Astyanax mexicanus: one gene and its partner. The protein of the gene in region 1 purifies or fractionates together with the protein of each later gene. This does not show direct contact. Links are inferred from orthologs where the notes say so. Each region holds a gene or a part of one and is shown on either strand. Other genes may lie near its edges. The genes, in order: sost and lrp5.

Region 1 (16,859 bases):
TCTTTCTTTTCCCCCCTAAATTTTGGGTTCCTCCTCTGTGTTTGATTAGCCCCTATTTTCCACAAAGGCCTGCCATACATTACGTGAAAGTTTGGAAAATGCTAATTTGTATGATTTACAGCATAAACACCTCATTGAGTTTTGTGCACTGCACAGGCTGGAGCTAGTTAGCCGCGCGTTGGGAGTTCCTCCACAAGCAGCTTACACGCAGCACTCGAGTGTGTAACAGACATGACAAACACAGAGGCCATCAAGATTAAGTGGAGTAAGAAAAGGCTGACAGTCGTACTCTTCTTTACGCTTTAAAGCCGGGCTCGTGAGTAATACCTAAAGCCTGTCAAACAAACGGCTGAATGGCGGTGTACAGGCCGAGTTCCCCGTGCTGCTGCCGGGACTGAACTGCTCATGTCTGACATGCCAGTTCTTTTGTGCAAATTCTTTTTTTCTCGCCTTTTGTAGGCATCTCGCTAGACATTCCAAAGCGCAACAAAGCAGCCACTTCCCAATTGCAGCGCATTGTTTATTGAGGCTTCGCTGAGAGACAGGGCTTAGCGTGCAGGGGCAGCCAGAGAAGCACTCGTGAAAAGAGTCAGAAAGATAACAAATACACAGACACAGACAAAGACACATACACGTCTTTCTCATATACTTTGCTTTACTTTATTCTCTTTTTGTTAGGAAATTCACTATTATTTCATATAGTACAATAATGGCTATTTTCTACAAAAAAGGTTGCATAAATAATTTAAATGTTGACATTAAAAAATAAATATGCAGTTCGTTCTTTGTACGAGTCCCTCTCCAAGCCGGAGAGGGCGTGGGTCCCTCCATTGAGCAGTTCAGTCATTTGGAGGGCTTTACGCTTCATGAGACCAAGCAGGTTCAGTATATACAGTCAGGCTATACATGGTGATTCTGCTTACATGATAAAAACGTGAAAACATGAAAAAAGAAATCCCTTCCAGTTTCTAATTCAAACACACAATTGAAAAAGAAGCAAACACAGTCAGTACTGTTTAGAAAGCAGAGATGGGGAGAAAACATAATGGGGAGAAAACGGTGGTGTTGAACAATGTGTGGAAGTAAGCAAAATATTTTTCATTCAGTCATGGACTGGAGGCAGGCGCGCTGGATATCGAGACAAATAAAAAAAGACTTGGTTCCAGACTGGTTCTACTGTACATCCGGCATAATATCAACATACACCCACATTCACTTCAATTCAGTATTTCATTTTGTCTAGTCTCATAGCTTAAGCAGGGTTGTGAAAAAAAAGGCAGAAGGATGTTTAGGGAATGGTTTCTTGTTTTTGGCGAGTCCAGTCTCTACATGCATGCCACTTTTCACGTTTCACATTTTTACTGAAGGAAGTTATGGAAAGAGGGCGGGTTTGCAGAGCAGCCATTCCTCAACCACATTTGATTTTAGTATCAGACACCTTCCACTAAATACCTTCTTTGCTTATATACTGTACACGCTGTGATATATATATATAAGTGAAACATTTCATAATGGCGAGGCAAACATGACTTTTACATGACTTTTAGCTAAGATGTACAAGCACAACTTTACACAATTTTACATTCTGTACAGTGCTTCCATTTAAGGCTCATTATTATCGGACTTAGATCATCGATAACACCAACCACCCTGTTACTGCAACTGACCAATAAAACTACAATGGTTTCCAGAAAAGTCTTTTAGGTATGAACAGGCCCAATTGTTCCAGATTCCTACACACATGTGGGCCCCTTTTTCTGCTATTCAGACAAACAGGAACTGACCACGTCTAGAGGAAATGGCTTTTTATGGCCCAAGTCCTAAACACAGGAATGGGACTCTTTAGTAATTGGGACAAGTTGGGTCAGTGGAATTAGTGCTCTGGGCCCTAGGGGAGTCATGATCATGGAGTGCTGACATAACTGTTCCCACTCTCCATCACTGACAGTGGGCTGGCTTCAGCTGACAGCTCCTATAAGGCTACTTCTGGAAAGGTAAAGGCTGTGGGAATTCTGGTGGCTGGCTTAATATTCCCAGCCTGTCAAAGGAGCTCCAGGGTTGGAAATGCTGGATCTCAGCAACGTGTCATCGGCCAGTCATCCCTTGGGTCCGGCAGCCCTGGGCAGCTGGACCGTACGCAGCTACACCATGCCCCAAATGTGATGACTTCATTTCAGTTATGCAAACATTCACCTCGGCCACAAGTTCGGAGCACTGCTGGTGGTGGATTCGGTCATGCTTATGGCGGTTAACTTCAGTGTCAATGTTCATCTCAGCTAACCTTTTAATGAACTTCAGGAAAGTGAACTGATTGTTGGATTGGGTCAGAGAGGCCCTCCACAGGAACTACGCCAACTACCGGGTTTTCTAGAGTAATCTCCCACAACAGCGTACCTCCTTTCAAGCAAAAGTCCGATAAAGTCCTCAGGAATTTGGTAATCAAACATCTGTTTTCTTTGGAATTATTCATTGTGAAAGGGTCAGGCAAACGGTGAGGCGTTTTTTTTAAACACGCTGGAGACGTGAAAAATGAATGTAAGATAGCTTCAGCCGCTGCTGAAAATGGCATTTAACTCCATAAAAATAATCCTTTTTTAATAGATATCTTCAACTTTCTTTCCCTCGAACTTGAGCACTGGCGTTTGGGCAGTATGCAGTAATGTTTGTGAGTATGTGTGAGAGTGAGAGTGCATGTATACAAAGAAAACCTCCTCCTTCTCTTCTTCAGTAGGAGTTGCTGCTGATAGTCGGCTCTCTGCTCCGGCCTCGTGTCTGCTGGACACGTGTGTGCTTCTTGTTGCGCCGTGTTTTTTGGGAAGGTTCCTTGGCGTCCGACAGATTGTGGTGCCGGGTGTAGCGTTTGCACTTGCAAGAGGTCACCACTCGGATTTTGTAGGTCCTGTTCTGGCCGCTTGGGCACTGCAGCTGGACGCGCTGGGTGCGGGAATGGGCCGGAATGCAGCGGTAGTCAGATGCGTTGCTGCGCCACCACTTGCTCCGGAGGATGGAGTTGGGCATTAGGTGAGCAGGCAGACACTGGCCCGAACACACCAGCTCCTTCACTGGCTTGGCACTGCGGCAGGAGCCGTCGGTGATGTAGCGGGTGGAGCGCAGTTCACGACAGCTCAGCTCTGAGGCTCCTGAACACACAAGGAACACAAAAGAAACAAATAAGACCAGGAACAAATTGTACACTTTGTTTTGGGCTACATTTACATTTACTTATTAAACACTGGTATGGGGCTGTTGATATGTGGGCTCTCCAATTTTCTAGATATTTCATAATCTGTCTTCACAGTTTAATGATTTGTAATTGCCGCCCACTAGGCACATCCTTTTACATGCTACCTGTGCAGTGAAGGCTAGTGTGTGCTTCCTCCAATTAGGGTTGGGCAATTAATAAATAAAAAAAAAGCGAAAAAATCAGAACCTCTAACCAACTTAATTTAAGTTTATTAAGTAATATTAAAATAGTATAAATATCACTTTATGAACTTTTTATATCACTTTTTGAATTTTAATACAACACAATCCGTCATTGGATAGCTGAACACTAAATTCCAATTCTTTTACGTGGGCTAATAGACGACTGCACTGGCTAGCATCTTTAGAGACAAAAAATCCAGTCATCCTTATTCTATAACATTTTTCCTAAAGCCAAGAACCATTTAAAAACCTTTATTTATGTTGCTGAAGAAACCTTTATCATCATTTGGAGTGGGATTGCTGGCACCTCAGTGGGAAGTGTGAAGTGAATGAGATTTATTTTTCAACACCTGCTATTTTTTCTTGGTTTAAACATAAAACTCAGCCCTGCTCAAACTTTATCACGTCAGCTCCAGGCCTACATCCACAAGCTGTTACTCATTTCGCAGTGGCTCCTCGCTGAATTACAGCAGAAAGCGTTGGAGGTGTCAGCAAAAGCAGTGATACTGTGGAGGGATCTGTTTCCTTCTGCAGCTCTGCTCACACACAACAACAAAGGATTTATGTGTGTGTGATGAGTTCAGGTTTTCTCTCCCTGCCTTTCTACAGAACCTGATCTGTTTTATGAAGGCCCAGTCGTAGCGCTCCCCTCGCTGTGAGAGTGGGAAGGGACTGGATGCCGGCCAGAGCGAGGTCAGCACATCCAGCATAACCCCAAACTGTCCACTAGAGACTGAACACAAACCCCACTTGGGGATGCAGGGTGTGTGACGGTCCTTTACAGATTAGCTTATGATACATGCCTGTTGCCTTAATTCCATTATCTTCATTATATAACTGAAGTATAACAGGCTCTGTCTTTATGGATTCAGTTCTTGTGGATCTGTTACTTCAGTCACTTTTTTCTGTAATTCTGTTTAAAAAGCACCAATTTGGGCTTAATTTGAACACTCCAGCTACTGAAGTATTCCCAAACTGAAGCATTAAATGATCAGAAGGGTGCTGACAACAATGACGGCCATAATTCAGGTGAAAACTCAGCGAACGGTTGAGTTTTCAGCAGAGCTTAGTAACCACAGGTGGGAGTCATTCGCTAAAACAGTGTTGCATTTAAATAACAATTTTCAAATACCCTCAAGAAATTTCCCCACAGACTCTGACATGCTCTTCTACTTGAGAACATGCTGATGCAATTAGATAGTTATGTAGACCTTGACTAATTGTATAAAAGTGCGGAAATGGCAGGAAAACACTGAGTTATCAGTACATCACCTGCCTGAAACACACAAGTGCTGATTCCTCTCGCACTTTCATATCCTGCAGGAGGACTCAGAAAGATGCAACGGTGTATTAAAATATCTGATACGATACACTCTATTAATGTATGGAAAGAATACTGAGAAAATGTTCTAAAAACTACAAAAGTGTAGTTATTACTACAAATTTAATAGGATGTAAACTGTTAAAAAAAAACACACTCGCTTCAGTTATCTCGTTTATCTCTGTAAAACGATCTCCCAGCTTTCAGTTTCACGCATGTTTGTCCTTTGCTACAGAGAAGCTATGCCTGACCCAGGTTTTATCACCCTCGGGGGCCTTTGGGCAGCCTAAACCAGAGGATCGCCATCAATGAGCCTTAACCCAAACCACACATTTCACACAGACATGGTGCACATTCTCTGTTAAATATAAAGAATCTTAGAAAAAATGGTTTAAACCACTTTTTAAAGGACTTTAAAGGAAAGAAAATATGAAATTTACACATTCGTTCTCTGAAATTCATTTTAAAGGAAATAAGGGGGAAATTTGTAAGGTTCATTTCCCAGACAGGGATTAAGTAATAAGTCTACTCGTATTTTCCTATCAATTGAAAATTTCCAATTTAATGACTAAGCTTAATTCCTGTTCAGTAAGTTGTAAGTTTGACTGTAAGTTTTATTGTAAGGTAATGTCAAAATTTCATTTTGGACTATTTACAATGAAATGTTCTGACATTATAAACTGGAGAAATTGGTAAAATATATATATATATATATATATATATATATATATATATATATATATATATATATATATATATATATATATATAATTATTATTATTTATGTAAAAAAATAAGATTTCAAGGTTTGGTCCCTACAGAGGAGGCCTTCGTTTTTACTGCTAAAACTTTTTGATTCAGAATAACCTGAATTACTTTAAGTAGAATAAAAGGCCAATCCTATGTGAGAAGTTTTTTGTAAGTAAAGCTTAATATTAAAAAAGGGTTGACTTTAGCCTTTAAAGCAATTAATCGATTATTCAAGCCTTCTCACTGAACTAATTAATCAAATCTGCAGTAATTAGCATGTGTATATCAGCTATTTAAACGTCAGAAGAGCTAGACAGCTATGACTGCTAGATGTCTAATTCTCTTCAGAGGCTTTTAAATGTGTGTAAATGAAGCTGTTTTGAGGGGTTTGAGTAAACAGGTAACTATAAAAGATGATTTGGTCAGAAATAGGTTACTTGCCGTAAGTGGGGCTGTTAGCTGACGACCTCCTGCCCCCGTTCTTCGCCTGGTTCATGTTGTTGGTGTTGGTGTTGCTGCTGTTGAGGGGCTGCCTCTGCTGCTCTGGATGTGGGGTATCCTCGGTGTACTCCTCCAGGAGCTCTGTGGCATCGTTCTTCAGGGCTCCCCATGCCCCAGCTCCACTCAGCCAAACCTGCAGCAGCAGCAGCAGCGGCCACGAGTGCACGAGCAACACGGATACAGACACGTGCATTTCTTCAGCTTCACTCAGGCAGGGCTCCTCTCAGGGTTTCTCTCAGGGCCAGCTTCACTAATCTCTCCCATCCGGCAGCAGCGCGTCCTCCTTAAGTACCTCCGCGAAGAGCCGCGACAATTAAAGCGCTCAGCCGGAGAGGGAGGAGGAGCAGCCCATTCACAAAGTGATGGGGAGGAGGGAAGACTGTGTGTGAAAATGTGTGTATATGTGCGTGTCTGGGCATGCATTCAGCTATTTGTGGGGACTATAATTGTGTCCTCAGAATAATGTTGTTATAAATACACGTATAAATAAATTATAATACATGTTTTTGTGCTAGAATTAAGGGTGAGGCTAGTTTAGGTGCAGTACGGCAGCCCTGACGAAGCTAATACACATTTCAAAATCAGTTCCCTGCAAAGACAGGAAAACAGGAATACGTGTGAGTGAACATATGCATGTGCGCGTCACCTAGAGATGCCTGAGGTATTTACCACCTTGTGGGGACCTACACATACATACGCATAAAAAACCGCACAAGAAAAACTCAGGCCTACATAAGATGTTTACAGTGTAAAATGGAGCTGGGCAAATGTTCAGGTTTGAATTTAGTCAAATTGTTAATTTGTTTATGAATTCAAAACAGAAAGTACATATTATCTGCTGGTTTTGATTTGTATAGATTATTATAGATTAGAGTATATGTGAATACGGCCGCTGTTATTGATGATACTGTGTTTAAATATCCTGAGGAATGGACCAATAGAAATGCTGCAAAATATAATTGAATTAAATCTTTTTTTTATATTTGTCTATTTTTGTATATTATAAATATATTTGTATATGTATATTTTGTGCACAACAGTGACATAGATCAATATATTCAAATATAGATCAATATGTACATTCTAGAACAGCAGCTACATTTTGTGTCTCCCAGATAAAGCTTTTGCCATTTTTCAAAAACAATATGCATTGAAACATTTTGGAATAATAAAGCTAATTACATGAATTCTCCATTTTTAAATAATGTTTGGTGTTTATATTATGCAAAATTCATTCAATTAAACGAGTCCTCTCCTCACATTATTGTCTTATCATCCTGATTTATACATTTAACTTTTAATTAGCTTTTATATGAATTAATATCTTGTTTATATGTCGTATCTAATTTTCATTTTTGTGCTTACTCTATTAATGCCAATAACAAATATTTGTAAATACCTTTTTTTCTGTGCAAGTTGTTATTTTAGTAATTAAACAAATAGATGTCTTTAACACAAGATGCCTGTAAAAAGTTGTTATTTCTAATATAAAAATATCTTCTTTGCAACAAATCTTCAAGGAGCTCCAATAAAAAAAAAACACACACACACACAATCAGTGATGTCACATCCTCTGGTGGAAAAATGTGGAAGGCAGTGAAATATGTCAAACTTCTAATCTCATTATGTAATGTTATGTATATTACATGTTGAGGATTCACCTATGGTATATTAATTATTGGTCAGATATTTTTATTTTGATATTGAATCAATCTCCCCTTCAATTTCTAGGAACAGTTTAACAATAACAGAGTGGACTGGTGAGTACATTTTTAATACTACCAACAGTTCTAGAATGGCCCATGAATAGAGGACATAACAGAAAACAAAACAAAACAAAAACAGAAAAAAAACATTCAGTTAAAATTAAACATAAAACATAAAAATTTTATATTTTAAAAAACGTCCAAAATCAGAGCACAGATTCCAGGTTTTACAGCTTTTCGTTTATAATAATGACTGTAAATAACATCCATATCTGTAATAAAGAGACAGAATATACTTGTTTGTACTTTACACATATGTTCACAGCATGTGCATTATTCTTTCAGATTTTTTGTTAAACCAATTTTTCCCTGCAAAGTTACCATCTTTAGAATGAAAGGTTTCTTTGTGAAGTCATAAAGGGAAATAAAGGGAAAACTAACTGGAGAACAGTTTTAAACAACACTCCGCTTCATCAGTCTGTATAAAAAAAATGTTTAAAGCAGCCTTTGTATATAGTATATAAGTACCCCAATTATATCAGTATATAATTACCCCAACTTACTATGCAGTAACCAGTAAGAGAACCAGCTTATCTGTCAGATCTACAGCCTGTGTGGTTAGAAACTGACGCTCAAGCATACTGAGCTATAGATGTGACATAATAAGCTCAAACCAGTATGACACTGACTCATTTGTACAAATGCTGCCCTCTTGAGGGAACGCAAACATACAGATTATTTAAAACGGGTGCAGGAATCCACTCCACCATGGCTTGCAGCAACACCTGACCTACTCTGGTAAAAAAAAAAAAAAAAAAAAAAAACTTTTTTATTGTGGAAATGATTGTGGGTAGTAATATATAAGTGTGCTTTCTAATGGCTTAGCAGAAAAGGGTGGAGTGTACCTAAAAATGCCATTTGTGGGTGGGGTCAATATAAATATAACATACGGTGTGTAACAGTTTATTTGTCAACACATTAACACATTATTATAAATATTAAGGAATGTTGATCTTCACTGTAATGTTCTTTTTTGTTCATTTTAAACAACTTTTTTGAGGTGAGGGGTGGAGCTGTGTTTGCCATATCTGCAGTGCTGCATGGTTCATTTGAATGGTTACAAAATGGATAAAAATATATCTATTTAAAGTTTCTAATTTTTTTTTACTTCATGTCCACACTATTGTCTTGGAATAACCAACCGTTAGATAAAATAACCACTGACATCAGTGAAATCACAACCTTCACACTGTAGAAAACCTTCACACTGTAGACTGACTGAAGACACTTGCTGTTCAACAATTAATATTATTTATTTTACCTAATATTTCTCATATTTTTTCTGAACTTATCTGAGATTTTAAGATCTTAATCCCCTTATGGTAAAATCTTAAAAAAATATTTAAAATGTTTTTAGAAAGAAATCAAAATGAATCTTTGAAAGAGGAAAAGATAATCAAGAACAATGTACAATTTCTGGGACTCGAGGCCAAACATGTTTTCATCAAACGCGTTGCTAAAATTGTCTTCGCTAAAATTGTCCACCCCCTCATACAGCTTGCCATGACAGGATGGACATACATTTTTTTAAATAAAAAGTGATTAACCTTAGAAAATATGATATCTGTGTAGTCAAAAGTTAGAAATCAGATAATATGTCATTATATAAATATGATAAAATAATTTAAAATCTCAAGTCATTTTGTGGAAAGTTCTGAGCATTCTGATAATGGCCCGGCATCTAAGTTTAAAAGCAGACATTTTTGTGCTGTCGTCTCTCGTCTGATCGTCGCATTGTCTGATCATATATGGAACTGAAGCCTCTGCCACACTGCGGGAATGAAAGGGAAGAACCGAGTGTTTGTGACTCCTCATCTGTCACTCTTGTCAGCACAACAGAAGGGAAGGATCCCACTGTCCACCGCGGTTCCTCGCTGATTGCACCCTGCGCTCGCTCTCTGTCATTGACGGACTCTTTTTATACCTCCTTGGGTTTGTGTACCGAAATGCAGGACGGAGCCATGTTCTGTCATGATAGCAGCTTAAAGATAAATAACCCTCAGATGTGGCCCAGATTTCACTCCGGCCGCCAGTAAAGGATATTTTTATAGGAAAGAAGTAACACAATGTTGAAGTCGCATAAACAAAGTCTTTAACTCCGCAGGACTGACGGTGAGAGGCCTTCAGATGGATGGACTACTAACAGACTTTCTGGCCACACAGTGCTGAAGAAACGTTGTGATAAGATGATACTGGGTCAAGTTCTGGCAGATGTGTTATTCTTGCAAAGATGTTTTTCAGTCCTGCTGCGTCTTTCCTCTCGTGTGGGGAATTTACATTCTGCTAAAAAATACAAGGTTTCATTTCTGCAGAATAATACGCTTAGTTCCTCACTGCAGAGAATTGATTTTTACCAGGTTTAGATTATTTTTCTAGGAGATGACAGCTGTATGCTATAGGATATATTTTTCACTTTATTTAATTTGACATTTACATTACACAAAGTTTGACACTATGACACATTCAGGAATTTTAATTTATTACAATAAAAGCAAAAAAAAAGTAAAACACAAAATATTTTATGTTTTATCCAGTCAAATTCATTTAATTTGTCAAAATTCAGCAAACATTCTGTATTGAGGACAGGTCAGGACTGCAGGCAGGCCAGTCCAGTACCTTTAACCCTGCGCCTTTCATAATCCACATGCCTTAGTAATGCGTGCAGTTTATGGTTTTGCATTGTTTTGTTGAAAAATGCATGGACGTACCAGGAAACGATGTTGTCTTAAAGGCAGCATATAACTAAACAATCGAAGACATCAGTGTACTTTATTAGTACTTAATTATTGCTACCATGACAGTTGTGTACTGCCACAATGCCTTATGATGCCTTATTGGACCTGTTCCTGATAAAAGTCTGTATGATCTTTTCATTTTTGGTCCAGAGCTCAAAGCATCAACTTCCTTCAAAAAGATTTGGAGTACTGATTTGTCTGACCACAATATATGTTTCTAGCATTTGCTGGTCTATCCTAAATGCATTTGAGACCAGTTTTAGTTAATTGCTGCTTCCACAATCCCCCAAGCATGACTGCTGCCTGTACTCAGCAAAAGTGTGACATCCTTTGATAAATGCAGGGCCACCTTTATAGACATTATTTCCTAGTATATGCCTTTTTTAACACTATTTCCCTAGAGAAGAGTTCATTTTTCATTTTTTTTATATTTTAAATATTAAGTGTGACAATGCTTAAAGTATATAGGTTTTAATCAGAAACATCTTATGAATATATATGTATATATATATATATATATATATATATATATATATATATATATATATACATATATTTAAATAACTGATTATCACAGGGATTTATCAGTCGACTCATGCTTTAGTAAAGCTTAGTAAAATAACAGATTAAAAACCTGGTCCATAGACACATTTATCAGTCTACTCATGCTTCAGCACAGCACAAAAGTGTCAAAAATACAGCCCAATGACTAGAATTAAAAGTTATATTCTGGGTCACTTAATGAACTTAAAACTCATTTTCAGTAATAAAAATATTGGAATGTGTGTAATATGGCCTATTATTCCTCCTACATGTTTATTTATGTAGGGAATGACCGTTCTTAAATATTATCTCTAAGTTTTCAGAAAGTAAATGTAAAATGTCCAGACTATTAACCTATTTTTGTGTGCAAAATAAGTGAGATGAATACGGCATATTATTTCCTGGAATGTTTTGCTTCATTTTCTTTTTTGTTCCAAAAAATCCAGAGGCTGATTTTTCAAGTATGTACATACAAACCCACAAATCTGATTAGACACCGTACATCTGCAAGACTTCATCGTTCCACAAGATTAAGTAATGTATTATATTTCGTCCAGGGTACGTTGGGTTAAATATGAGAGAACAGCTTCACTCTAGCTCAGTCATGTGTTTGGCTTTTAGCATGTTACGAGCACTTTGTGGCTGAGCCCAAACATATTAAAATCTGTCGGAGATTTAAAGGTTATCTGAAGTTGCATGCTTTCCCACTGTGAGGCCTTCTGATTTCCAAACTGAAAACAACACATCTGGACTCACTGAACACTTATTAACTCGTAATGCGTCTACTCATCATTTTTAAAACTGCAAGGTGAAACTCTGAAATCACACTTCTATAGTTTTCACAGCATTAATACTGTATAATGAACTACTTTTTTTTTACTGTAGAGCCTGCATAGGGCATGTTACTGTAGATCTGCAAAGCATCATGGTCAAAATTCAGTGAACAGTTCAGTCATTTTAGAGAAGGTTTCTTTTTCAGCTGTTTAAACAAGAATCCGTCTTTGCTACTGGTACATTTTCTATTATTACCAACTCATCATGCAGACAGAAAGACATCTTTATCTGCTGCATAACGACATAAAAAGCTATAGCAATTTAGATAATATGCAGCTGAAAACATACAGGAAAAGGCAGCCAGTCTTAAGGCTTAACAGACATGCTAGTTTTCGGTTACCTCAGCTTGCTAACAAAGCTTTTTCAGCACATATATATTTCGAGTGATACAGATTGAATCTGTGTCTGTGAAGATGTAGTAACTGATACCAAGTGTGAAAAGTGGCAGTGAAAGTTTTCATTTTCTTCAGTTTATTCAGGTAAAGTGTATTATTGAACTTCAACGTGGAAGTTTCTATGAAAATGCTATGTTAGGTACATAGCTAACGCTAGCTGCACTGCACTTGGAGAAAGAAAGGTTGGAGAGGTACACCTTTCTTAGTATGTGAGCATATTGTTTTATAGGCACTGTGAATAAATATACAGTATGCACACTTTAAAATGTACTTATTTATATTATTGTATATTATTACAGTTACTATTCTTTTTGACAGTGTAGCATCCACTTAAAAGCAAACGTTCTAGTACCCTGTACACTGTACACTTCACCAGCTCCACTGTGCATGTGCCTTGTGCTTAAAGCAGCTCATTTGAGTTTAGAAACAGTGGAAACCTCAGCTGTGGTTTAGTAAACCTCACAGACCGCTGGGTCCATGTGTTAACCACCCTGCTCTTGCCCTCTCTGTACCCAGCTTAAACTGACATTCCTGCTGCAGGTGCTATTCTTAGCAGCTCAACTAATTAGCCAGCAAATTATTGCCTCCAAATGTGCAGCTCCTCCGACAGGTTTTATGTGTGTGTATTTTTTATTCTTTTTTTTAACAAGACTCTCACACGGTGCCTGCTTGCTCGCAGGGAGCCTCATGCATTCTCTAAAAGATGAGGTGACATAATAGCCTGTCACCATATGATCTCCTGTGGGATTTGGGGTAAAAGACATGGATTTCTTGTGGTTTTTCGCAAAACGAAACATGTTGTGAGCTTGTCCCAAGAACCTTGCAACATTGCTCGAGTATTCATCAGAATCTTTGGTTTCAGCTTGACTTTGTTACAGTCCAGATCACTTGTTCTATACCAATCTGAGTCCAGAAATTTCTAGTGAGATATTACAGAGCAACGTTTCCCATGCCTCGAAATTCCCCCCGTAATTGGTTTGGCATTGTCAGCTCTTCGCCGTGACCTATGTTTACCATTTGATGTTCTTCGTCAATGTTATTCATTAAATGGAAAGACCTTTGCTTTATAAGACTGTGTTACACTCGGGCCATAAATTATGCACGCTATGTTTGTATAACCTCTGCTGATGAAGGAAAGAAGATGCTGGTGTGTATGCAGTGCAGCAACTGGGCCAGGATGGAGGTGCTGTCAGAGATATAGCGTCCATATGGTCTGTAAATGAAGTTCTCAGTGTACTACACCAGTTTTATTAGCAGCGCACTGGAGCGACAATAGGAATGGCATGTGGGTCAGTGGCGTCTGAATATCGTGCTCAGCTGGACTTTAACTCAACTCAGCAAATAGAATTAAGGTCTATGGGTTGGTGCTGTGTGTTGTAACCTCGTCAACCAGAAAATATTGTATTAATAATGTATTCTGTATACTGGAATGTCAGTTATCTTAAATAAATGATCATTTATGAATTTGCACATTGAAAAAACACATATACAGTGCAGTGTTATAGATTTTTTATAACATTTTCTGAGATGATTATTTCTTAGCATGGGCCAGCAAATTTCCATTAGGTATTCATCGCACATATACACTACATGTATCCAAGCACACTTCAGGAAAATCTGAATTGTTTCTCAAATCAGATCTGTTGACAGAACAGTCCACATTCTTTTTTTTACAAGTGAACAGATCGAATTTGTGTATAGACACTACAAATGTATCTTCATGGTTTGTTTTGGTATTAAGGTCAGCATCAATTACTATCCTTCAGTGCTGAGCTTGGACCTCAGCACTTCCATCGTATTCAATTTGATGACGTTGTTGTTTAACTTTTTATGCATCAGTTGCACATGCACAGCTTAAGTAATCTCCATAAAAAAGCATCCCCAGCAGGTACATATGAGGTAGCAATGGGCATTTCTGGTCCTGAAGGGCTGAGCAGTTTTTTTTAAAGTTGAGTATACCCAAATATCAACACTATATTCTCAAGACCTGGTAGGTACATCTAAAAGGGATGAGCTTCTGACAGCTGGAACAATATTTGATTAATATATACTATATACTTTAAAGTATTGGTGTATAGCTTGCAATTAGGAGCAGCCTTTGCTTTTCCTGCTCAAATAGGTTTAATAGGTCTGTTAGAGCAGAGAAATCAGCAAACTGGGCTGAACCATTCAATACCTTTGTGCTCCAGAACTAATCATTAATCATCAATCATCAATACCTCACACGTTAGTTACATGCAATTAAATCTGCTTCATTAAATCCCCATCTAATTTACACTTTTAAAAATAAAGGTCTTTCAAATGGTTCTATGAGCAACGCTATAGAAGAGGTACTTTTGGTTCCATAAAAATCATATTTGCAATCGAGATACCCTAATAAAAAATCAAGAGCTAGTTAATGAGGGTATGCTTTTTCTGGAGCAGCTGGTCTTGAGCTTGATTCTTTAGCAGGGATGTGTATGCGAATGTAAAGAACCATTGAAAGATCTTATAATGTTCTTCTATGGCAACAATTAAAAGAACAATTTGAAGCACCTCCTATCTAATTCCTGCATGTTCTTGTTTGCTTCTTTCTGAGGTCTGGAATCATTGGGCACCAGTCCATTGCATCTATTCACATCTACATTCTTAAAAATAAAGGTGATACAAAGGTTTGCTTTTGGTTTTATAAAGAACCATTCTTGTAATAGAGATGCGTGAATGTGAAGAATCATTACATGAAGACAATGCCATTTAAATCTCTAGCTCACACTCATACATTTCTAATATGTCAAAAGTAGTTCTTGATGAAGCCATAAAAAGTGTTTTTTTCTGTTATTGCTAAAAGAAATGTTTGTAGAACCTTTGCTGTTGGCAGTGTAAAGGCTATTCAATTAGGTTAATTCACCTTCCAAAGGTGGAGGTGGAAGGAAACTGGAGATCTATGCAGACAGAATGAGAAGACACAAAACTTCTCATAGACAGTGACCTAAGCAAGGACAGGACCCACAAACCCCGGTCCCCTGGAACTGTCCAGCACACACTACCTGCTGCACCACTGCCCTATCCTTTTATTTATGACTGCTGAAAGTCAAAATTTGCTCAAACTCAAATCAAACCAAAACAGATTAAAGACCATGTTGTCTTAATAGTTCATAGTAACATAAGCTACTGCTCTGAAAACCGGACTGTTAAAGGGCTTGGCTTGCTGAAGGTGCTGAAGTCTGGCTGCAATGTGGTCCATGCTCCGATGTTTACGTTGAGGAGAAAACTTTAATTCATAGCATGTATGACTGGATGCCTGTGATCACATGGCTCTTTGAGCCTGAATGGCGTTTGCGGGACGTGAAGAACTATTTCATTGGGTGTGATTTTTGTAGCGAATGTGTTTGCTAGGCCGACAGCTTGGCTATGAGTACAGCAGTGTGCTTAATCTTTAGCAGACTATTTGTCATAAGATCAGTAGGGTCAATTGAAAACACAGTGAGTACACACTGACGTGTGCTTTTGATGACAGGAAGGCACACAGCACACTTGTGTGGAATGTCATGGTTTCCCAGAATACTCCAGGAAGGTGCGTTAATTAAGCATGAAAGTATAAACAGCTTCAGCTGCCGAACATGCGGAATTTATGTGGGGGAAAACAAAGGCAAGAGACTATTTCGAGAGCAGATTAGAAACGACTTCACAAGTTTGCCTTTTTTACGAGATTAATAAAAGCAAATAACGAGCATTCGAAAATAATTTCGCCCGCTTGTATCTTGTCCTATAAAGGCTAATTATAAGCAGAGCTCGTAAACAGGGTCATGTAACTGTCATGTGAAGGTAGCTGATGATGGAGTCTGAGGAGAAATCTTTCACTGGCCACCCACATTAGCCCAGAAACAGGTGGACACTACTGGGGGGAGGAGCATTTCTCACAGAGGAAAAGTACTTGCTTTTGCAGCAATGTGATGTCACAGCACTTTCTGTTTCGCTAAGCTTTCGTTTTTATTTTGCTTATGCACATAGTTATATTTAGACAATCTATATTCTGCTGTTGGCTTTATTTATTATTAATATAAAACTGAGGGAAAAAAGGCTGCATTGAATCTACTTGACTCATTTTCACATGGATAAACCTGGAATAATGCAGTATGTATGTGGCAAAAGCACGTCAGTTGAAAGAAAAAAATGTTTTTTATACGTTTTAGAGGATGTATCCATTTCTATTATTCCCATATATGAAAATATATGTCACTCATGTTTGCAGCAAGGAATGAGAATTGATGCAATTAATTTAAATGAAATAAACTCAACAGAAACAAACTAACTGGACTAAATCTAACTGACAAAAGACAAGAAATTACCTAAGAAACCATGCACAAGACCAGACAAAGGAACACTTAAAAAAAGAGAAACTGGAAACACCTGGAACAGATAACGAGGGGGAGGGGTAACAAACCACCACAGGTGAGAACACTGATGATAGGGCGGGGCAACAAAACACAGCCATGTGCTTAAAGAGCACATGGTGAGGAAAACAAGCAGACAGGAAAAGCACAGAGGCAGACTAGAAATGACATAAAACAGGACAAAAGCATGACAATATACATATACTACATTAAGT
Region 2 (16,602 bases), on another chromosome or scaffold:
TAGCTTTATAAAGGTAAATGGATGTGTTAGCAGCTCATATGTGGAGCATCTCTTGCTCAAGTGGAAAGCAAATAGCAGGTCGAGGAGAAGAAAAAAGTCCAGTCGGCTTTCTTTTGCTGTTTTTGCAGCTATTGCTGCACAGAGAGATGTGTGGGTATGAGAGAGAAGCACGTAGCAAATGTGTAAAAGCAAAAAGACCCATGAATGACTGTTCATATTCATGTCGCATGTCCATGGATTGGATGCATATCCGATTTAGGACCATATATGAAAGTGACTCAGATCTGATTTGAATTTAAAATTGGCACGTTCACACAGCCGTGAAAAAATCAGATCTGAGCCACTTCAGCCTGGTAATGTGAACATAGTCTAAGTGAACTGATGACCGGGTCGGGTCATGGCTTTGCAAAACTTACTGATGCTCATGGAGGCCCCACCTAACACCTTACAGGACTGAAAGTATCTGCTGCTAGCATATTTGTACCAGACACCACAGGACACCTTCAAAAGGCCTGTGGAGTTCATGCCTCAGAACTGTTGCATTAAGAATTTTCCACAAATTACTTAAAAGTTCAATCGTTTCAAGCTGTGGGACAATGTGGATAATTTTACTAAAAATGCCAAAATAGTCCTACATTTGCAAACATTTTGAACTGTGCAGAAAAAGTACCAAAGAGTCTTAAAGTGGCGAGAGTGCGCAGTGAGCCAGCAGTAAAACTTATGTACGTGTTACATAAGAATGTAAAGACGCATGACGTCGCCAGAAGAACTCCTGAGAAAAGCGACCCGACATCCCAGTTTTTAATGTTCCTTAGCTTTTGGGAAAACATGGCAACTCCAAAGAAACGAAAAATGGACAGCAAATGCAAATAATTTCAGGCACATTGTGAAAATGACTGTTTTCAGAGGGAAGAGTGTTTAATTTGTCAGAATCAGTTGCCATAATGAAGGAGTATAATATTAAGAGACATTATGAAATAAAAAACAAATCTTAGTTCTCACAACACTCAAAGATAGATACAGATTATAACTCAAGTAAAATGGTGTGTAAATGATAGTAATGCAGAAACTGTATTATTATTAGTGGCATATTTCATTATTTGTTTTATTACAGCCTGTGAGTCTGTGGCCCGTGACTGCACATATATTTCTCCTTCTGGCCCCCAACCAAAAAGGTTTGGACACCCCTGCTCTAAATACAGCACCAGACCTAGCTCATAAAATTAACTAAATAGTTAATTTCCTGCATAAAAGCTCATTTTGGTGGCACAACACAAAAACTTGGATCAAGTAGTTCCTTCAAAATACTAAAGCATGTGTGAACTGTTCCAGAGCTATGTATATTCCATCACTGTCAAAATACCAACAGCTAATAACCATAAAGGGAAAGCATTACTGTTGTTCTTTCCTAGAAAACAACAGACATTAAAATGTCTTTTTTTTTTACATTTTTGTACTTGACTGTGCAATGTGTGCCTTTTTTGGCAACAAATATACAAGTGTTTGAGGAATATTTACTCTATACTGTAGAGCTATAGAGTAGCAAAAAATAGTTTTCATTCAGTAAATAAATGAAATTGGGAAACGTTATTATCCTTGGTCACATATGTGCGAAATTAAAATCCAAGTAATAAATACTAAGACCTGAACCAGCTGTGGTTGGCCTATCATAGCCTTTTATGTCAGTAATCTATTCATTCAAAAATGTGTATCCGTTTTAGTGGTTTTAGTTGTTGCAGAAGTCTGAATAAAGAATGATTAGATAAAGAATAATTATGATTAGTATAAAAATAAATACATACATACACATAAGAATAAATATCTTAATACTTTGTTATTTATGGGTTTCTTTATTAACCTTGTTTAATTTTTCTTTTGATTCATTTATTTATTTACATAATTATTTATTTTCTGCATTTATTCATTTCCCAATTTATTTATTTCTGTTTTTCCTTGTCCTTATATAATAATGAAGAGGCATGTTTTTCACATACAGGATTAGCAATCAAGCCCAGAGAGAGAGCAGCTGATATGAGTAGAAAAGTCCAGAAGCTGAAATTTCGGGGTGAAGTTCGGTATCGGACCTGCTGCTCACAGCTGCTCGCCTCAAAGAAATGGATCAGAGTCTGTATCATGAGCTAAGTGATCTTTTTTAAAAAATCTTCCACGTTACCAAAGTTACCACCAGAGGGGCAAGACATGTACAATCGATCTAGGGTATCTGACATCGATCAACCAATAGGAATGCTAAAACACTGTGATGTCATTGACCCTTCATTATCATATAAGGACAAGGAAAAACAGAAATAAATAAACTGGAAAATAAATGAATGCAGAAATAAATAGTTATGTAAATAAATAAACAAATATATTAAAAATGTAACAAAATTAAACAATGTTAATAAAGAAACCCATAAATAACTATTTATTTTGGTATTTATTTTTAGGTGTATATATTTTTTTATATTATTTATAATCATTCTTTACTGTTTTAATCATCATATTACTTTTATTAAATGATTTACATATTATTACATATTTTTTTTATTAATTTAATCATTTATAGTTTTGGTCCTCCATAGTAGGGAACACAGAAAACATGGAAAAAGGTGCTGTGGTTACATCAGACCAAAGTTGAAGATTCACCTTCCAGCAAGACAATGACCCTAAATATACAGCCAGAGCTATAGTGGAATGATTTAGATCAAATACATGTGGGAATGTCCCAGTCAAAGTCCTAATCTAAATACCATTGAGCTTTTGTGGCAAGACATAAATATTGCTGTTCACAGACGCTCTCCATCCAACCTGGCTGAGCTTAAGTTATTTTAAAGGAAGAATGGGCAAAAATCTCTAGAAGTCTCGAGATGCTCAAAGCTGGTAGAGACATACCCCAAAAGACTTTTGAATACTTTTGCACTTTGATTAATTTTATTTGATTTAAATGTTGAAAACCATGTTGGTGTTAAGGTGATAAAATGTGATTTTAAAATGTGAATTTAAAGGGATATGAATACTTTTGCAAGCCACTGTATTTTGCAAACATATTAAACTGCTTATAGGGTTCGATTTCAAAGATACATTTTGATTTTCTAAAAATATTTTAATTACTTAGATTTTTTTTGTCATGGCAGGGTGGACAGCTTAGGTTGTGGAGCATGGAGAAAATAAAAGAAATATTAAGTAAAATGAAAATTTATTCATATTAATTGCTAAACATATAGCAAGTGTCTTCACTTCCTTGACAATAAAACAGTACAAAGTTGTAATATCACTGATGAGATCAAAGGTTACTTTTCCTGAAGGGGCAGTTCTTAGACACATTTATATAGCTTGATATTTTTATGACAATAGATCAATGACTAATTGAAATGCCTAAATGATTTGAAAAAGCATCCTGCAGACAAAAGGATATTTTGACGTTACATTGATATTGACCCCCCTAAACAATATTAGGCTGGTGTCTGGAATGTTATAGTTGATTAGTACATTTTTTGTGAGTTAGGTTCAAGATATAAACAGCATGCATGCTAAAAAGAATGCTAAAAGCGTCTGGCATTCCTCTCTGAGTCAATAAGCTTCATCCTGCCACGTTTTCCCATGGAGCCAAAGCATTTTATTAAAGGAGCGTATCAATCAGGCTTTGGTGTAAACAAGATGGTACACATAAACAGACCACATCTGTAGCTCAATAATTGCTCCCTGGAAATATGTGATGCACATGCAGTGTCTGCTTGCAGGAGAAACGCTCAGCAAGTTTAATTGGTGGAGATGAAAGAAAAAAAGTGTTTTTTTTCTCCCCTGAAAACAAAGGCCTCCTTGATGAGGGCGTCCATCCGACACCTTTACGACAGCCTCATCAGGGAGAGCCTTGTGTTCAGGAGGAAAAAAATGAGGTTCAGACAAATATGTTTTTTATTAAAGCAAATCTGGGTGCAGCTTTAAGACTGGTGTGAACTTTAGCAACGTTAGCTGCGTTAGCACTGTAGACAGGAATGCGTCCACAGAGTAACGTTTTGCAACTCGTGGGCTGAATTCATGACCTCAAAGTGCTTTGCTATATTCCTCAAACAGCTTTTGCTTCATTTTTCATGTGGCGTTTGGCCTTTAGTTGCACAATCACTCAAATGCTTTCTCAGTGCCAGACAAAATAAACTGAGTGAATGCTGAAAAAACACATCTCCTGGGTGATGATGGTGGCGCTGTTTCAATTTCGAAACTAGAATCAAAACCAATTGCTGTCTATCAGCCAAGACTTAGCTTAATATACAGTATCTCACAAAATTCAGTTTACCCCTCACATTTTTGTAAATTCTTTATTATAATTTTTCATGGGACAACACTGAAGATATGACACATACAGTGTCAAGTAGCCAGTGCATATCCTGTATAAGAGTGTAAATTTGGTGTGCCCTCAAAATAGCTCAACACACAGTCACCTCAGAGTGAAAATGACTAAACTGTGCCCAAAGTGTTAATATTTTGTGTAGCCTCCATTATTTTCCAGCACTGTGTGAAGTTTACTAGAGTTTCACAGCTTGCTACTGCAATCATCTTCCACTCATTCATGACTACATCACACAGCTGGTGGGTGTTAGAGATCTTGCACTCCTCCACCTTCTGTTTGAGGATGCCTCATAGAAGCTCAATAAGGTTTAGGTCTGGAGACATGCTTGGCCAGTCCAGCACCTTTCCCCTTCTTACCTTTTCTTTAACAAGGCAGTAGTTATGTTGGAGGTGTGTTTGGGGTTGGTATTGTATTGTATTGTTGGAATACTGCTCTGCGGCCCAGTTGCTCTGCTTTAGTATGGCAAAGTACAAGTTCGCTAGGGTAGTGAACTGTAGTTCCCCACAGCCGGCGGCACTCATGCAGCCCCAAACCATCCGTGCAGGCACGCAACAGTTTAAGATGTTATGTTGATGTTTTTTTTTTTGTAATCTGAAATCATGACCAACATTCAAACTAAAATTAACGTCTATTGACGTTGGTGGCCAGCTGGGATGACAATCCACCACCTTGCTGCCACCGTTCTGTGGCACAGTGTCAGGGTCATCTTTGTGTAGAGCAATAATCCTTTTTTTTAAATCCTCAGAGAGTTATTTGCCATGAGTTGCCATGTTGAACTTCCAGTGACCAGTATGATAGAGTGTGAGATAACTCTCTTTTAAATGCACACATAGCATTCCTTTTTTGTGTAGAAAACCATTACTAATACAATAGGACTCTCTGGAGCAGATGAACATGAACCTATTGGCACTTTACCCAATGCCATGTTTGATCTAACGGGACCCTACAGCGTTGAGATATAGAGCAGTGGAACTGTGTTCTCTGAAATAATGGTGCTCTATACCATACCTATGGCATGAGTTGGGGAGTTGGCAGTGAAGTGAGGTACGGATCATCCATCCAACATTCTGACCTCATTAATGCTTTTGTCACTGAATGCAATCTGAACCTCACAGCAAATGCTCCAAAATGTAGCAGAAAGTTTTCCCTGTAAAGTAGAGACTGTTACGCTAACAAAAGTAGGATAAAATATTTTTAATATTCTTGTTTACAGTTGAATGTTCATAGAAGAGTCCAGTGTATGATGCGTGTGTATATGAGGTAAAGGGGGGTTGTTGTTTTTGCTGAAGTATCTCTTTAATATTTTATCTTCTGTTATAGAAAACAATAGCATTCCTGTTTTCTGGCCGTCTGAAGCAGCAGGAAATCAGGGCCTTTTGGGTTATGTGACTGTAATATTAAAGTGATGTATTGTGGGTAGTGGTAGGTGGTTGAAAGGGTGTTAGCGTTGAGCTTGCTGACGTTCTGCTGCAGGAGGCCGTGTGTTTTAGAGAACCTGTTCCACATGGCCTTCATTACCTCACAAACTATGTCTTATATTCAGTCTTGGCAGCGATTTGGCCGGCAAGCTCCAGCTCTGAGGCGTATAAAACACAAACTGAGGGAGAGGGAGAGAGAGAGAGTTTTATTTGTGGACAGGGCCTGGTGGATCAAAGCAAGCGCCGCAGGCCTCTCTGCACAGGTGACCGTAAAGACAGGTTTCATTATGGCATTTTTCTCTGGGCTCTGAATCACTGCCCACTCCTCTCACACGCACCTCTCTTTACCTCCCTCCCTCTCTCTCTATTTCTCACCCTGTTAAACCCAATCACTTTCTTTCTCTTTTTCTTTCACCCTGTCTCTCTCTCTTTCCCTGTTTGACCTCTTGCACTCTTTCTTTCTCTCTCTCTGACTGTTTTAACAACAAGGGTGGCAAATGTTTAACCATCTTAACCAGCAGATATGTTTAATTGACATAAATAACGGTCATTAAAAAAGTCTTAGTAAAAAAATATACTATTATCACTAATATTACTACTAGATGTGATAGTAGAAGTAGTAGTAGTGATTGGCGATAAGTCAGACCAAGGATTTGTTGCCGAAAGACATTCCTCGGAAACCCTTGCTGTGTGTGGGTGAGCATTATCCTGCTGAAAAATAGCAGTTAGAAGCCCTGCTATGAGAGACAACACCAGTCTGCAGGATGTCCTACACATATCTCTGAGTTGTTAGTGTCCTTCATATCACTACTAGGGGTGACCGCTTGTTGTATGAATTGGCTCCCCAGATCATCCAACCAGCAGCCGGGGCAGAGTGATGCTCCACAGCAAAAGCAGGATTAAAGTGTCACTACAAGGCTTTCATACTTAAAGCCCCCATCGTCAGATCCCATACAGAACCTGTTTTCAGCATTAAAGATCATACAATTCTAGTCCACAGCACTCCAAGTGTCCTGTTTACCTCATCACTGGAAGTCACAGAGAGAAATAAGACTTAAAGATTCTTCTTTAAAGGGATATTTCACTTACCCAAATCATTGGACCCAGGTTTCAATCGCTTCCATGGCCACAGGTGTATAAAACCAAGCAGCTAGGTATGCAGAAAGCTTCTACAAACATTAGTGAAATAATGGGTCTCTCAGGAGCTCAGTAAGCTCCAGTGTTATACCCTGATAGCAACAAGTCCAGTCATGAAATGTCCTCACTACCAAATATTCCACAGCCAACTGTCAGTGATATTATAACACAGTGGAAGCGACTGGATATGAAAGCAACTATCTCTGTTAGTGTGCAGCATAGTGTGCAGAGGTCACCAACTTCCTGCAGAATCAATCACTGCAGACCTTCAAACTTAATGTGGTCTTCACATTAGCTAAAGAACAGCAGAGCATTAGGAGCTTCATGGAATGGGTTTCCATGACCGAGCAACTCCATGTAAGCCTTTTACCAAAGACTGCATTGCGCAGGTGATTGGATACTTAGTAAATGTAGAAGAACTAAATTATTTAACATTTTTGTACTTAAGTATTGCATGTAGTTTATTGTATAATGTAGTACTGGAGTACTGCAAGTAAAAGAACAGTACCGTGTTATATGTTAAGCAGTTGAAAGTTCTCAGTGAAAGGAGAAACAGGAGCAACAAGGTCTTCTTTTAAGATCTGCTTGATTTACACAATGATGAGAAGCTTTGTCAAACCTGGAGACAGTGCAGAGGATCTACTTATCTGGCTTTAGTGATAATGTGGGTTTGAAACATTTTTAACTTTTTTAGAATGGTAACGAGCATTAATGCAGCACATAAAAAGGTATACAGTACAGATGCAGCAATTTAGTACTTAAGTATTGTATTGAATTAGTTCTAGAATAGTAAAACCCTCTAGCATTGAGCTGTGAAGCAGTGTAACTTGTCTCTGGATTTTTTGGAAAATTATGGATGAGGTGGAGTAAACAATAGAGGCAGTTACTCTAACAAAAGCAGGATAAACTAAAAAAAGAAGTAGAAACAACAAATAAGCAGGTGTCCTAATACTTTCTGCCATTATAGTGTTTTTGATTTTTATGTTGCATGTTTGTCTGTATGGACTTTCAACGTAGTGAATATTTCATAAGCGGACCTTATTACATATATTTTATACTCCTGGCCTAGATGGCAGACAGTGTGTCAAAATGACCATCCTGCTTTTCTCATTTTAATGATACAGTTCAAAAACATGCATCATAAAGGCATGCCTACCAGTCACTGATCTCTCACAAAGAGGTACACTACCCAAAAGCAGCCTCTGAGAGCCAAAAAGGCTTAAAAAAAAGCCTAAGAGCAGGAGGAAGAACCACTGAGAGAAACTGAGACTTAAAAGAGAAACCAGTCATGGTCTTATTCACTTAGTCTATTTATTGCTATTGCTTAGTATTTAAGACTAATTCTGTCTGCCCTGTGTTGTACCACATTCTACAGCCCGTTATCATAACAAGCTGAAAAAATAGAACTTCATCGCCAAGAAAAGCGATGGCAACAAAGGAGTAAATGGTTTATCATTACAACTTTTTTTAAGAATGTGTGGGAATTTGAACAGTTCAATTCAATTTAACACAGTTTTGTATAATTAATACATTTAACTGTGTTCAAACCAAGTCTTCCTGGCAAAAATGGGGATTTTTAGATGCTTCCTCTAATTGCAGCATCCTGTGTCATCACTAAATGAACTTCTCTGTTTCAAATATATTTTTATTATATCTTCCTTATGCTTGAAAGTTCCAGTTCCTCTTTGCAATGGAAGAAGGGTCTATTAATGGCTCTGAAACACTCCTTTGCTGCATTCTAAATAAGAACTACACACTAATACTGTAAAATGTATATACTAGTAACAATAACAATAACAAGTTCTCCAGGTGAATTTTTACAGCATTTGCATTGTTATCTGCCAGTGTAATTTTATAGTACTGTTTTAGACATAAGTAGCTTCTCCCTATTCGTTTTGCATTGCATTATGGGATATTTGCACTCAAAAACAGACCAGTTCCACTTTTATCTGTACTACACATTTCACAATCAAAGACTGATAACATACTGATTAATACACAAATGGGATATACTGAGAGTAAACGCAGCATGAATGATCATAGTTAAACTGCTCTGGGTTGATTGGTGGGCAGTCAACCATTAATCTGTTCATGGATGTAATCTCATAGCTACAATGTGTAAATTTTTAGACTCAAAGATCTGCACTACACTTCTTACAAAAAAAAGCAAGGACATTTTATTTTTTCCATTTTTTACTAGTAAGAGGCCTTGGAGCCTTGGAAATCTGAGACTGAAAGCTTATCAGAGAAAAGAAATCCTTGTAAAGAAAGTTGTTCTGCTGTCTAAACCAAGTCAATCAATTTATAACTTTAAACTGAACTTTAACCCCCTTAATCTGGCTCAGACCTGCAAAAGGTAGACACACACACACACACACACACGCACGCACACAAATGCACACAAGTCCTCCATGTTTCCCAACCCGTTTCCTGGCAGTCTCTTCTCTGTTGGAGAGAACCACATCCAAAATGTCTCTTCCCAATAACAACATCTCCTTCAATACCTTCAGATACCCTGTTACCTCAGATCAGATTCAGATTAATTTCAGCTCAAAATTACACTTCACTCAGTTTTTGTTTCAAATTAAATTTCGCTTCGATTCAGATCAGCGTAGATCAGATTCAAATTTGACTCGATTTAGATTAAAGTCAACCCAGATTAGATTTAAATTCAGTTTAGATAATAATTATGATAATAATAATAATAACAACATAATAATACAAAAATATTTAAACACTCTTAGCAAGAATAGCTACTAATATTTGTTTTATAACAACCGTGGAAACCATTTGATGCTTGATAAAAATATCTTAACATCTTAAACATATCAATATTTGATTTAGATTTTTTTTCAGATGAAACCTTTTTAATGTTTTTAAAATATCTTTATCTTAATCAAACATTATCAGTTTATATTGAATTACGCAGCTATTTGCATGTTGCTCTGGGTTTAATCCGCTTTAAATGGTTGTATCTAGAGTTGTATTTTTCACGCCGGAGTTGTGGCGGCTTTTTATTTCCCGCCCGTATTCAGGAAAGTCCCGTCTCCTCCGTGCCTTGATTGGCTCACTTGGAGCTCGCAGTTCTTGCTCATGCGCAGAGACACCTCCCGTTGTAGAAGGACGAGGCTGCGCGCGAGGGCTCTGGCAAGTGTGAACTCCGAGCGCCAATTACATTGCAGGGGGCGGGGCCTCTCCCCAAAACAGGTGCAAAAAGAAAAATCAGTACGATCCCAGGCGCTGACGTCAGAACCCGTTTCCGCTGTCATTCCCTGTAGGAGCCACACAGAGAGCGCGGTCCTGTGTTTCTCTCGGACGGAATAAAAGTACTTTCGCGGTTCCAAGGCGGACTAAAAAGTTGCTTTTGGACTTTTCTGACCCGCCAGCCACCCGAAACATGGATTTGAAGCCGCGCAGCTGAAGCGAGGACGGCCCGAGATGGAGCTTTTATTCGCGCAGCTGCTGCTGCTGAGCTGCGGTGTGACGGTGCTGTGCGGTGAGTGAAGGACTTTTGTTCACATTTTGTGCTGAAAATCGCTGCTAAAAGTCCCGCAACTCGGATTAAAGCCGTGTAAACAGCGTACAAGTCCGTATAACACGCATCTAAATACTAACACATGGAGGAACCGGTTTCTAATTCGGTTTAAAACTGGTTTAAACTGTGATTGTGTACTTAGTGGACACTTTCTGGGAGGCGGATTTGCTGAAAATGCACTGAGAAAATGGAGCTGCAGGAGTTGTAAAAGTGATCAGAAACCGAATTAAATGTTATAAAACACGATATTGGTGTAAACGACCCTATTTGGGAACAGATGAAAAAAATGTAAGGTATAGTTAGATGGTAATCCTGAAGTTAAATTGAGCATTTTTATACTCTATAGTTTGTCACCATAAAAAGAAGTACAAACGTCTTTAAACACAGTTATAATGATTTTTAAAAATCGTATAAACCTGCATATACAGTTAAAAACAAAGTTGTTATAGAGAAAACACAATTAATAGAATAACTAAGCTATTTGCTCTATTCATGAGTGCCAAAACAATCACTTTTGATTCAGTTCAGCTCAAATTTAATTCAGGTTCTGATTCAGATTAGAGTTACATCAGTTTTAGTTAAGATTTAGCTCAGATTTGTCCATTTGAGTTGGATTAACATAGATTGGCTCAGATTTGGTTCAAAGTTCATGTAGATTTGCCTCAACATAGGATTTATTTACATTAGGACTTAAATCAGGTTTATCACGGGTTTTATTTTAAATTCTGTTCATTTTTTTTAGATTCAGCTCAGCCTAGCCCAGATTCAACTTTAACTTTAAATGCAGCTTAAAATATTAAATACAGCTTAAGATCAGCTGGATATCCAGAAAAAAAAACCTACACTGTGTAAACTAATCTCTTTAATTCAGATTTTAATATTAAATGTGGTACCAAAATTTAAATACTTCTACAGCACATACACTTCACACACATTCAAGCTGAATTCACTAAGACCAAAAAATGTGGGAAAATAAACATTTCCCAAGTGCCCTGCTGCATGTTTAAACTGGGTTCGGTTACTTTTAGGGTGGATTGAAGCCTTGCTGCTCCACAGCTGCTGTGGAATGTGTAAGTGTGTAAAAACGTGTACATGTGTAAACTAAAGTTTTATTCAGATTTAGGGGTAGTGTTTACTGTTTTACCTCAGATTTACTCTCTTATTCTGAAGTATGGACACAAGGTGTTTGGTTACTTTAGTGATAATGAGGCTGAAGGGTTGACTGCCTGGCCTTGGTGTCGAATAGCAGACTCAGAAGTGCACACAGATATAAAAAGGGGGAGAGTAGTATTTTGTGTGTAAATAAACAATTACACACTATCAAAAATAGTTTCTTTTTAAAATAGGTTAAATATCAGTTATCTGATATTTTAAATTGGATAAATCTGGACATATTACATTTGATCTCAGAGAGTGAAGTGTGTTCAGTGCTGTTCAAACATCTGATTTCATTTAATGAAAAACAGATTAGATAAACTGAATATTAGATGGGAACTGGGAATACTAGACACCTTTCAGGAGAGCAGTACAGAAATAACAACAAACAGCTTTATAGATTATTTTCTCAGGTTGTTAGGATTTTACTGTGATTTAATGACCCAAGGTGTATTTATTCATCAACTTCCTTACTATTTTTCCAGTAATAATATTTGTGTTGATTTATTATCCAAAAACAGAATACATTTTTGCACCAATCTCTTTATCCCGTACCGTGACCCACGCTATTACTTTTAGACTGATATGTAAATTACCTATGTTCTGACTGGCTGCCTAATTTAAAAGGCACTCTGAGCTGAAACACTCCTTATAATGTGAGTGCGTGTGGGCGGAGCTGAACTGATGTAGACTGAATAGGCAGATATACAATGATGGAATGCATTGTGTTTTTTGTGATCTCTCCAAAACAGTTTGTACAGAAGGACTGGGGTATAAATGGTATGCCAAAAAGGGTTCTTGACTGAAGCAAAATGTGTTGTTAGTATTCTTTGTGTTGATGGAAGATGATTAATATAGAAATATTTAAGAAATGGTTTAATGGAAAGCACCAAAAAAGGACAACAAATATTTTTGCAGTGCTATATTGAAGCTTTTTGTCTAGAGTGTGGTTTTAAGCCATTTTAGTTAAGTCTTCTATTTAAAAAGCACTCTGTGGTTTTCTGTCATATGGGCTCTTTAATCAGAACTGATTTGTTGAGTATCGGGAGTGAGATGGCTGGACTCATTGAGATACAGGACTGTGCAAAATGTTAGTCCCCTGTGAAAATCTAAATGAGACCCCCTTTTTTGGGTAGTTTGTGATCATTTTTTTGTTAGTCTTTTAGTCTTTTTGGCTTTATTTTTTTGTTTTGTTTTATGATGTGCAGAAAAAGATCACATCATACATCACTGTTCATTAAAACATCTCTAAAGTTCTTTTCATGGGAGTCTAGTAGTAGTTTGATTTGTCCCCAACACCTGGTTTGGTAAATCAGTGATTATTGATGTTAAACCAGGTGAGCTGGTGGTGGAATTGAAGACATCTACTGGGGCGTTGGCTGCGGGTGTCCAGTAGAAATCTGGACCTGAGCTTTGTTCTTTAGCTTTCTCACAGGAACTTCAAAATGAGAAATTCTTGTTACTTTTTTACTTTTTACTTTTAAATTATATGATTAGATTTTGGGCCCTGTCATTGTGGTAGGTTAACATGTTGCACTTAAGCCTGTGAACAATTTCATAACTAAAAGAAAATTAAATGCTTACGGTTGCAGTGTAAGGATAGAGCATGCAATACTTGCACACTAAGCAACAAGAGTCTGTATTGTGCTGAAAAAGAGAACAGTACTGAACCCAGACCCAATACTGGTGCTGTAGAACCATTTTAAATTTTTAAATGGGGGGGGGGGGGGGGTCTTTAGGGGTTCTATGGTGAAGGATATTTTTACACTGAAAGTCCAATCCAAGGTGGATGTTTTTTGTACTAGGGCTTGATATGAACCGTATGAAAGCCACAACCAGTGACATGTTTCGTCTTGCCTTGACCTTGCCAGTAGATCAAGACCGGCAGTGTCTGAGGCCGAGACCAGATTAAGTTATTTTTTATCATATAAATAGAAAATGCAGAAAAATAAATAATCTGTTAATAATGGTGTAAAATTGCTGTTAAAATACACTGTCATCCATAGCACAGTGATTTCTGTTGAGTTTTTGCTTCACATTTTTCAATTTTTCAAACAGGACTTTTTGCATTCTCTATAATGAACTGTTGTGTCAGTGTTACAGTGCTATATTCTTTTTTTTGTCATCAGCTACAGGGGTGGAGTCTCTCTATACTTCATATGAATTGGTTTGTAAAATGTTAGTTATGAGTTTGGTGAGTTGCTTTGTCAGGTGTTGTGATGAATTGTAGCTTTCTGTCAGAATCTCTCTTCACGAACATGATTCTCCTCAGATTCCTTTTCATAAATTTGAAAAAGTTTATAAATAAGGTTTAATCTACTGTTACAGTAAATGAATTAATTCCCAGTATAAGCATTTGTGTTCATACTGCTGTGTGATGTGCCTGCTCACCAGGGAGAGTCAGATTTCAGCACAACAATTATTTTTTCTTCTGCTTTGTTTAGGGACTAATTCAACTTACTGTAATTGCTCTGAAAGTCCATCTAGAACCATTAAAAAAAGTGTTTTACACTGCAGACAAACTGGACCATGATTTAGTAGATTCTTTCAATCAGCCTCTTTTGGTTGGTTCAGACTCTGGTCCTTTGGTTCAGACCGTGGTTCACGCCCCCTTTAACAAATGCCACTTTAGTTCAGACCCAAACTGAAAAGTTAGAAATTTCAGACCAAACAAGGGAGGTGTGAAATCCCCCTTAATTGCGCAGATAAAAGAACTTTGCCAGGTCTTATCGTCATCACATTTTTCCAGAATTTCCCTATGTTTGACACTAGAGTGATTTGTAGAATGTTATCAATTCTGTGAGTTGCCTTTATGTGTGTTGTACCAAATCCAACTGCCTGGCAAAATCTCCTTTCGAGTCATGCATGTCACAGTAGAATAAGAGCAAAGTTCTTTAAACACAAGAAAAACTTAATGTCGATACTTTTACAGAATGGGTTCATACAGGCCTGTCACAATAATTACACTATCGACTTATCTTACAATAAATGACCGGAATAATATTTGATAATCATAATATTGTCTATTATGTTTATTTGTATGTTTGTTCACATATTTAATTAGTTCACAAAATTATTTAGTTAAAATTGTTGTATTTAAAAAGGTATAATTGCTATGTTTTGCAATTCTATATTCATTATATAAATTGCATGTAATGGTCTGAAAATAATTTAAATTTCATTTATCACAATAATCTCAATGATGTATCATTCACGGAAGATTGTTATTGTGACAGTCCTAGTTCCGTATAGTACTGAAAACAATGGCTCCTCTATTGCAGTGCTTTGTAAACACCTACAGTATAGTCAGTTAATAATCTGTCACAGACTGACAGAGTATTTTAACCTGGGATACTCAATAGTGTTGGAAACGTATCCATATCCATATCCATATCCATATCCATATCGGCACATAATTGCATTGGACAGATGATATATTTGATTAGTCTATATAGTAAGGTGTTTTGGTAGACCTGCTTTTCTGAAACCACGTGTATTAAATTGTAGTCTACCCTGCTTTTGTTGGAGTAACCATCTTCATATCCAGGCATGGCTTTCTCCTTGATTTTGGAGCATGGCTGTGGGGATTTGTTTGCATTCAGTATAGATTATTGAGGCCAGGATGCTGGATGGGATCACTACCCCACCTCAGCCCCTACTTTCCAAATAATCCCAAAAGTATTCCGTCCTGTTGGCAGTAATTCTCTACATGTGCATGTGTGTGTGCGCGCATGTGTGTGTGTGCGCGCATGTGTGTGTGTGCGCGCATGTGTGTGTGTGCGCGCATGTGTGTGTGTGCGCGCATGTGTGTGTGTGCGCGCATGTGTGTGTGTGCGCGCATGTGTGTGTGCGCGCATGTGTGTGTGCGCGCATGTGTGTGTGCGCGCTTGTGTGTGTGTGTGTGTAGTTGCATGTTTGTGTCAGCAATAGGTGCAATGTGAAATAGCTGAATACATTCATTAAAAGGGGTTGTCCACAAACGTTTGGTCAAGTATATGTATAGTGTATATATAGAACAAGTGTATTTTTAGGAAGCTCTGTTTTAAGTGGTTTGGTTAAGTGGTTCTTTACAGTGCTCTGATTGATCACTGACCTTAGATTCAGTCCATCACTCAAAACATGTTTGGTATCTGGCATCTGCTTCTTAAGTATACAATGGGAAAGGCTAGGCTAATGTTGCTAATAAACACTAGATATAGTGTTTATATTAGAGAACATGCACAAAACTTTCTTATTTTTTTAAACTAAAACCATGTTGAAAAGATAAACAAATAGGATTGTAGTAAAGCTGTAATTACTTTACTTTACTTTACTTTTTTTTTTAGCAGAACTGCTTAATTGAACTAAGCATTGGTTTTTATTATATGCAAATTTTGAGTGATTTTTTTGTGTGAAAGGAAATTACTTTCGGTGCCAATGGTCTTTATACTGCAGATGGAGATTTATTAATGCTGAAATGTCCTTTTAAGTGTCACAAATGCATAGTACTCAAATCCAGGATGAGTTCTCATGTGTATAATGATGTGAACAATGGAGGCAAGATTAATTATATGATAAATATCAACCAAATCTGCAGATTTTTGGTGCATTTTATTTTCTGAGTAGTTTCTTGTATGATGTGAATTTTAAGTAGGTTTTACTTTGTTTTAATATAAGGTGTAACCTAGTTGTCTTTTTAAACAAACATTGATTTTCAAATCTCAGTCAGTCATACAGATTTCTCCTTTATAACATTTAGAGAATTCGACCGTGTCTCTCTGCAGCACGTCTCATCTTCAATCTTCCAAAAGGAGTCATGTGACTCCTTTGCTGCGTTCCCTCCACTAGATTCCTTTAGTCGCCAGCATCAGTTTTAAAACCTTGACGCTGGCCTACAAAGCCATAATCGGACCTAAAACTAGATCTGTACCGGTGGAATTCATACACCCTGACTCTGTCCTGGAACGAACTTTCACTGGGTGTCAGGATCTCCTTCCATCCCCAACTAAAGACTCATCTTTTTAAAGAAT

What was found.
Region 2: the proteins of sost (region 1) and lrp5 purify together in Homo sapiens (affinity purification with mass spectrometry; 3 studies listed by BioGRID and IntAct, counting the BioPlex papers as one, with this or other methods). This does not show direct contact. The link is inferred for Astyanax mexicanus from reciprocal best matches to the Homo sapiens genes SOST and LRP5.

Annotation. Positions count from the first base shown.
Region 1 is NC_064422.1:28,977,661-28,994,519, reverse strand, and holds sost (sclerostin), read right to left. Parts: upstream 6,302-16,859; 5' UTR 6,192-6,301; coding exon 5,939-6,191; intron 3,141-5,938; coding exon 2,725-3,140; 3' UTR 638-2,724; downstream 1-637. UniProt on the Homo sapiens protein: Negative regulator of bone growth that acts through inhibition of Wnt signaling and bone formation.
Region 2 is NC_064417.1:10,258,024-10,274,625, forward strand, and holds the start of lrp5 (low-density lipoprotein receptor-related protein 5), read left to right. Parts: upstream 1-10,148; 5' UTR 10,149-10,341; coding exon 10,342-10,399; intron 10,400-16,602. UniProt on the Homo sapiens protein: Acts as a coreceptor with members of the frizzled family of seven-transmembrane spanning receptors to transduce signal by Wnt proteins.